Linked DNA regions of Macaca mulatta. The protein of the gene in region 2 purifies or fractionates together with the protein of the main gene of each other region. This does not show direct contact. Links are inferred from orthologs where the notes say so. Each region holds a gene or a part of one and is shown on either strand. Other genes may lie near its edges.

The links.
Region 1: the proteins of PPP1R7 (region 2) and SH2D4A purify together in Homo sapiens (affinity purification with mass spectrometry; 3 studies listed by BioGRID and IntAct, counting the BioPlex papers as one, with this or other methods). This does not show direct contact. The link is inferred for Macaca mulatta from reciprocal best matches to the Homo sapiens genes PPP1R7 and SH2D4A.

What each region holds. Positions count from the first base shown.
Region 1 is NC_133413.1:20,954,382-20,958,388, forward strand, and holds the start of SH2D4A (SH2 domain-containing protein 4A), read left to right. Parts: upstream 1-1,194; 5' UTR 1,195-1,836; coding exon of another isoform or gene 1,837-1,882; intron 1,883-1,957; exon of another isoform or gene 1,958-2,138; intron 2,139-3,231; exon of another isoform or gene 3,232-3,333; intron 3,334-4,007. UniProt on the Homo sapiens protein: Inhibits estrogen-induced cell proliferation by competing with PLCG for binding to ESR1, blocking the effect of estrogen on PLCG and repressing estrogen-induced proliferation. May play a role in T-cell development and function.
Region 2 is NC_133417.1:146,420,517-146,424,561, reverse strand, and holds the start of PPP1R7 (protein phosphatase 1 regulatory subunit 7), read right to left. Parts: upstream 2,814-4,045; 5' UTR 2,801-2,813; coding exon 2,749-2,800; intron 1-2,748. UniProt on the Homo sapiens protein: Regulatory subunit of protein phosphatase 1.

The DNA.
Region 1 (4,007 bases), on a different chromosome or scaffold from region 2:
AGGGAAGAGTCTGGGTTCTGAGCTGATTGTGCTATTTGTGTACAGTGTGTGTTCCTTTGGGCTGTTAACATTCTTTCAAGATAGAAGCTCCAAGATGTTTCCTTACCTAATCTCCTAAGTGGCATACCATCATCACTTCTGCCGGGTTCTATTGGTCAAGCAAACCAACCTTTACAAAGTGGCGGGGAGCTATGCAAGGGTATGAATAACAGGAAGACGGGATCCCTGGGAATGACTTGGAATGTAAGTGGCATGGTGGGCAGAACCATAGCCTAGGGTGAGATAGCAGGAACCTGGAATTATAGTACCTTAATGTGATATGAACTGATCTGAGCAAATGTGTTTGAACACTCACCACATGCCAAGAGCTGTTCTAATCCCTTTGCATGCGGTATCTCATTTAACCCTCTTAACAACTTACGGAGGCAGACACTCTATCCAGAGAAGAAATTGAGGTACAGAGGTTAGTAGCACAGTGACAGAGCTATTATAAGGAAGGACTTGTCAGGACCTGGAGAGAGACTGGGTATGAGAAAGGTAAGTGGCTGTCACAGTGTCCTATGGGATTTTTCCAGATAAACCACCCTGTATAGTTAACCGATCCATCCATGCAGGGCTAGGATTCATTTCGACCTCGCCATAGTAGCTTTCCAGGGGCCAATCCCACTCCAGCCTAAAGCACCCCATAGGCTATCATTTAAACTGCAGTAGGAACTAAGCCTTAGACCAGAAATTTCTCCCTGATGGGATCCCTGGAATGGTTCCTAAATAGCTGGGTCTTGTTTCCTGACAATGCCGCCTGCCCCGAGGCTTGATGTGACTGCATAGCTTCTGCCGTTTGTAAAGGCGGGGAATGACGTTTTATGTTTGAACCCAGCAGGTCAGGCTCCTGAAGAGGTCAGGTAGTCTGTGGAGAGGACTACTGGTGTTTGCTATTTATTACATCTCTCCCAACACATAAAATCTGGGGTTCACCAAAGCAGGCGGTTTTCTTCCACATACTCCTCTAGGATGGAAAATGCCCTCCAGTGGAAATGCCTTTCCACTCTGCTTCTGCTGAATTTTCCTCCAAGATTTCCTCTAACTGTGGACTGCCAGCTCCTCCCTGATGTCTTCAGGCCCCAACCCAACCTGTTCTTGTTGCAATCCACAAGACTCCTTTCAGCATCTTAACTTTTTCCCCAGTTTTCTTTCATTTTCTCCTGGTCTGTGTTGACTGCGGTCTCCTTCTCAGCCTTTTCCGTCCTTCATCTTGTCCTACAAAGCCACACCTGTACCGACAAGTGCCAAAGAGTTTGATCATTTACTTAATGTCAACAAAAGAAAGAAAAAAAAAGCTCTAGAGTCGCCTTGGCCTGCGGCACCCAAGCCGAGTGAACAAGTGGGGCCCGCGCACCCTCCTACCCTCCACCTCGCATGGAACCCCGAGCTCTGAAACATGGAAAGGCCCAGACCTGCTGATTTAATCTAAGTCCTGCAGTCCCCAAGAGATCATAGACTGCAGATCCCAGTCCCACGAACTAAGAGAGGAGAGGAGCAAGGCTACCCCGGACTACCGCAGCTCGGGGACAGCGCGCAGACCAGGCGGCCCGAGATGCGCAGGCCACGCAGCCTGGCCGACGACTGTCCCTGGAGAGCCTCCAGGCGCCCGGGTGGGGCCGCGATCGCGCCCCGCTAGTCACCCGGCATGTGGGCGCGGCGGGGCGGCGCGGGCGGGCCGGCTGCAGGAGCTGTTTGGCGTCCCGGTCAGAGTATTTGCTCAGCCCGCCTGCGCCGCTTGGGACGCTTCTGCCTTTCCCTCCCTCCCTTCCCCGACGGCTTCTGGCGGCCAAGTGGATGTGGCGGGTGATCGGGCCACCCTGCCCAGGGGCGCCCAGCACTGGTAGGTGCTGGGGTTGGGGAGAGGCTTTGGCGAGAGTGTGCATGGGGTGGGAGTAGGGGGAAGGGAATTTCCTCGGGGGTTGCAGGGGTGCATGGGAGGCGCAGGGGCCAGAGGGGGCGGGCGGAAGCCTCACCCCCGCCTCCACCCCTTCGCGCCGCCCGGGGCGGGCTCAGGTGCGGGGTTAGGCGGCTAGAGCGGCTGCGGCGGGTATCCGGTGTCCGGTGTCCGGTGTCCGGTGACTGGAGCCGCTGGCTAGGTGAGCGGCTGTCCCCGGGGTCTGGGGGCTTGCAAGGGGTGGCGGGGGGAACTTCGAGGGAGAGGGTCTGCCGGAGCTGAGGACTTTCGGGGAAGTTCTGGGATCCGGCGGGGACACGCGGCGCGTGCTTCTACCCGCAGGGAGTGCAGGCCCCGGGAGGGTCCGGGCTGGACTGGAGTTTCTAGACTCCTAGCAGGAGCACGTCCTGGACCTGCGCCTGGAGATCTTCCAAGAGGGAAGTCCCGGGAAACAGTGGCAGCCGGCGCAGCACCCCGGCAGCGCGTTCCCCGCGCGCCGGCACCCAGGGGCGCCCCCAAGTGGGGTCAGGGCGCGCGCGGAGGCCCGTGCAGCGCCGCCTCCCAGGGGCTGCTGCGGCGGGGCTGGCCCAGACCCAGACCGGGTGCCCACTGGGCTCAACCAAGCGGCGCCCCTGCCCGCTCCTGGACTCGGGGGTTACGCGGGCACCGGAAGGAGCTACAGTTTGTAGGTTTTCTGAGTTGTCTTTCCCTTCCCAGGGAGCTTAGAGAAACAGCAAGCGTGGCACCTCCCCCTTCCGAACAGATGCTCCTCATCGCCCAAAAGGCTTTTATTTGATTGCTGGTTTAATGGAAACAACGACTTGGGTACCATTATTTTAAAATAGTGAATAAATAAGTGGAAAGCATACAGGGGCATAGATTTGGCATAGGAGTGGAATTTTCTATGTATACTAAATCTGTGTGTACAGTAACTTCAAATTTCTGAAGAATAGTATATATTTACAAAACTTGCCAAATTGCTGTCATCTCTGGTAATTTGTTTCATCTCCAAAAACAGCTCTTTTGCTGGTAGATGAATAAGATAAAGTTTGAATAAGAAAACAAAGCTCGACCACAGAGCTGGCTGTTTTAAAAGAATTAGAATTCAAGCTGTATTGTTAATGTTATAGTTACACTGTCCATACCACAATACTTTTATTTATTTTTTATTTTATTGGGTAAGTGCAAAAGTAGTTGTGTTTTTTATGGCAAAAACCACATTTATTTATTTATTTAGGCCATAAAAAAACACAATAACTTTTGCACCGACCTAATGTTTTTCATTTTTGAGGCAGGGTCTCCTTCTATCACCCAGGCTGTAGTGCAGTGGTGCGATCTTGGCCCACTGCAGCCTCAAACTCTCCAGCTCAAGTGATCCTCCCACCTCAGCCTCCCAGGTAGGTCGGACTCTAGGTGTGGGCCACCACACCTGGCTAATTTTTATATTTGTGTAGAGATGGAGTTTTGGCATGTTACCCAAGCTGGTCTCGAACTCCTGAGCTCAAGCAATCCACCCACATTCACCTCCCAAAGTGTTGGGATTACATTTTGAACCACTGTGCCTGGCCTACTATTTTTATGATTTAGGCTGTATCTTAGGCCTTTAAAATTTTTTATTTTGTTTAGGTATCAGAGTTATCCAAAAGACAGTTGTATGGTAGAACAGTGTGAAGGTGTGAGAATCAGGTCAAATCTATGGTATCATGGAAAACAACAGATTCTCTGATCCTTTAGCAATTGCTGTTCAGAATAAATTGCAGGTGTGGGCTTGCTTCTTATCATTTCTCTCTTTTAAGAAAGGTGCTGTGTTAGCTGAGCTATTCCTTTGTTGGATCTTGAATAACTGGAGGTTTGCTGCCCTTGATATAGTATGGGAAAGTCCTCAGCATTTGAATCCGTATCAGCAATGATTATTTGTTCTCGTCAGGGAATGAAAGTGGGAAAACCCTGGTTAGTTAATTTCCTCATTTCTATTTCTTCTACCGTGGCTCCACCAGTCTCCTTCACTTCACAGTAGATTATGTCACATACCGACTCATTAGGAGTCACAGACTGAACCAGCCCTCATTTC
Region 2 (4,045 bases):
AGCCCACATGGATACTTAGGTGAGGAACACACTACTTCTGCCCTCAAGGAGCTTGTGAAGAATTGCCCAGTGTTCTGAAAGCCTTGGATCACTTGTGATTAAATCCACTAATGGAACCAGGTAGTGAAGCACCGCCTGAGTGCCTTTCGCTTTCGGGCTGGGTGACCACCACTGTGACTCTTCTGCCACATACCTCCATCCATGCTCTACTATTGATCTGGCTAAGAAAACCAGCCAAGTTCACAGGCCCACGTTCTGAAAGAAATCAAGACTAACTCAAATCAGATTGTGGGCAGGAAGGATCACTAAGGAAAAGGAGAATACAGCCAGTAGTGCTGACCGCCCACAGAAAGCTCATTGGTGTGAAATGAGCTTTCACACTGGACACTGGACAGAATGTTAGCAACTCAAGGCTTTTAAAGGTTCATAAATATTTTTTGAATTAAAGAATAAGGCAATTCAATGTGTCAGGCAAAAATGCTTTGGTAAGGTTGTCAAATCGTTTCTTTTTTATAACTTTATTCATGACCTCTTTTGGAAGTCTGTCTGGAAAACATGAGGCACTAACACATTACTTGGAATTATCAACCACACTGAAAATAGTCTCTTTCCTGACTATGGTTTGTCTACAAAGAGATGTGCTCTTTGAGGGAAAAAGTTCAATTTCAGCTTTGTATTTCCTGCTTAGCCTAGCAAAGTAAAACCCAAGAAAGGATTGCTGTATAAAACAAGTCCTCATAAAACCCAGCTCCAAACCCTCCAAACCCATCTCTTCTTCCCTACCCCCGCAATGACGGTAGCTCAGTTACTTGTTAGCTGTGGCCTGTGCTCCTGCCCTGCCTCCTAACTCGTCTCTCTGCGACTTGCCTTGCCTTGTTTAACCTATTCTCCACTGCCAGAGAGTCTGATCTAATTCTAAAATCCAAATCCGATCTTTGAGTCCAAAAGTATTTCTGGAATGCTCTTCCTGAGTTTGCAGCTTGCTGCTAGAGATGCAGGTTTGGCAAATCATTTCCATTTGAAAGCCTCAATCTCCTAGTCTGTGGAAGGGAGCTAGTATAGAACTTATGCCTCAGCGAGTTGCTGTCAGGGTTAAATTAGAAAAGGCACAAGAGCAGTTAGTACACGCATGACATGCAGTAGATATTTAACAAATTAGTCACCACCAGGCACAGGTCACTTGGTGGCCCAGGCTCAGGGAGAGAAAGTTCTTATTGCATGACAACCTGGTGCAAAAACCCCAGGAAGAGGAGTGGTGTGAGGTTAGGAGGGGCTTAGCTAATGAAGGTTGGCCAAAGTGAAGCCTGAGGGCAGCAGAGGGTCTGGAACATGCCACAGTGGATCAGAATGTAAGAAAATGACTTTGGTGTGCTGGGGACGATGGGCTGGGGAGCAGAGACAATCAATCTAGCCTAGAGATGACGAAGGTCTGAGTTAAGGTACTGGCAATGGGAATGGAGGACGCATCGAAGATTTGGAGATTATTTTTAAAAGTAAAAGTCAGAGCTCCTTGACTAATAGGACACGGGTGGGAGTGGCGACAGAGAGAAAAGCCGGGCTTTTATATTTGTCATTTACCAAGACATGCAAACAGTTGAAGAGGGAGTGGGAGGATATGAAGAGGCACTTCTTACTTAAAAAGACTCCAAGGGTATGAAGTCCAAGACCCTTAACACCACCGCCCCCATCCCCACCACATATGATTTGGTCAAACTCTCCTCCACACCCTTTGACCGCAGCTTTCTTCATCTTGAGTGATTCTTGCTCTTTTCCCTCACCTTATCCCCAACCTCGTTGCCTTCGAGTTATTCTTCAGGCTCCAGCTCAGAGCTGGCCCTGCTTGTGCAGCTCTCACCACTCCCGAACATGTCAGCCCTTTCTTCTGCACCCGCCCTCCTTCCCCAGCTCCACATTCCTCCTCCCTACCACTTTCACATGAGGCAGTGACTGCTCTTCTGGGAGGGCTGTACCCCTCACCAAACCATGGGACCCAAAAGCACTTAAGCACTTGGTGACACAACTGATTCCCCAGTTGGTGGGTGTGTGCACGCATGTTTATACACATACTGCACATGTACGTATGACCGTACCTACAGATATGTAGAGAATTATATATAAATACATGTGTACGTATAACATATACATGTATGCATTTTTTTAAATTTGTTTTGTTTTTAACAAAATGAATGAGGAGGAAGAAAGTTGAATTTAGACTTTTTGGAACTATGACAGCTTTGAAAAGAGGTATCACCTTGTGTAACTAAATGTTCTGGTTCCTTGCTACCCCTTCGCCAACAGTCCTTTCGATTTCAGGAGAAGACCCTTCTCCACCCTCACCACGCGAAGCAAGGAGCAGACTCGGGTAGATCCCAGCGCCCAGAGCCTCAGTTTCCTCGTCAGCTGACCGAGGAGGCTCCCCCGCCTGTCAATCTCAGAGGCTCGGGGCGAGGCTCCAACTGGACTGAATGGAGCTACCGCGTCCCATTCAGCCCCACCCCCGGCCTGGCCTCGCGCCGCCGCTCTACCCCTAGCTCTGGGTCCTTCCCGGCCGCTGCCGCCCCCAGGCCGGGGCTCCCCCGAGGTCCAGAGCCTCCCCCGCTCCCCCAGGTCCGGCTGTCAGCTGTCAGGGGGCCGCGCGGCGGCGGCCGGAGGCGGGACGTGGGGTTTCTCTCAGGCACGGAGCAGTTCCGGCCCGCAGCTCCCCCCGCCCGCCCGGCCCTTGGGCCGCCGCCCGCAGGGGCCGCTCACCCTCCATCATCTCCTGCGACTGTTGCTGCCCCGCGCCGCGTTCCGCCGCCATGTTGGCTGCTCTTCCCCTTTCCGGAATCTGTCGCCTCAGACCCATCAACCAATCAGGGCTCCCGCCTCAGAGTCGGCCCAGCCAATAGGATTCCGGCGCTGCGAGTTCAGCCGCGGCGCGCCTGCGTGTGCCCAGCGCCTCGTGGGAGTTGTAGTTCCGTCATGAGGCTGCGCGCCGCGCGCCGCGCCTCCCCCGGGGCAGGTAATTTCAGGCAGCGGCGCCGGAACAGTCTGGAGGCGAGAAGCTGAGAAGGAAAGCAGAGGGAGTCGAAGCGGGACGCACCGGCCGTAGCTGCAGGCAGACGGAGTGGACGTCTAAGGGTGGAGAGACGCCCTGGGCTCGAGAGTTGACTTATGTCACTGTCTCGACCTCGGAGGCGTGGAGGGGCCGCGGGCCAGGCGGATCTTTCCGTGGCTGCAAGGTGCGGGCCAGTCCTACGTGCATCCCTGAGCTTTGCGAGCCTCGCTGGCTGCGTCTGTACAATGGGCCGAACGGCAAGAGCAACAACATTCTCCCGGCGTCCAGGCGCGGATTTTACCCATGCGAAATGCCGCCTTCTCTAGATGCTCAGAGCAGGCGGGCAGGTGCGGGGCACTTGCGATGGTGGGGCCGCCAGCCAGCTGGCCGGCTCCGGGGCGCCAGCCGCGCTCCCCTTGCAAACCGTTCCCAGCCCAGTGCGGACGCTGCAGGCTTCGTCTACCCTGCGGAGCCGCCCAGCCCATGAGCGAGCCGCCCCGCGTCCTCCGCCTTCAGAAAGAGGCCTCCAAGAGGCGAGCTCTGCGATACTCACCTATTTTGATCCCGAGACTGGAGGAAACCGCAGCTGACCAGCCCGGGGGCGGAGGCGCCCATTATTGCTTTGGCCCCTCCGAAGCGCCGTAGGGGGGGGGGGAAATGGCCGGTGCGTCCCTAGCAACCGTTAGCGCGGGCTTCTGGACTCTGGCTGGCTTAGTCCCGCCCATGCGCACAAGTGGTTGGTCCGTGGAGCTTGTCAATCGGTGTGAGTCGCTGTGCGATTGGCCGGTGGGATAAAAGCGCGGAGCAGCTCCCTTCCGCGGTGTGAAGCCGGCTTGGCGTGACCCTCGCCTGACCCAGGTGAGAAACCTGCGCTGGGGAGAGCGGGCCGGGGTCCGCAATCTCCCGAGGGCCGCTGTGGGGCCTGCGCGACTCCGCGCTCCTGGCCTAGGAGGGTTCGCCGCCCGGCCCGGCCCTCAGACGAGCCCGACCCCGGGTCTCCCGCCCCTG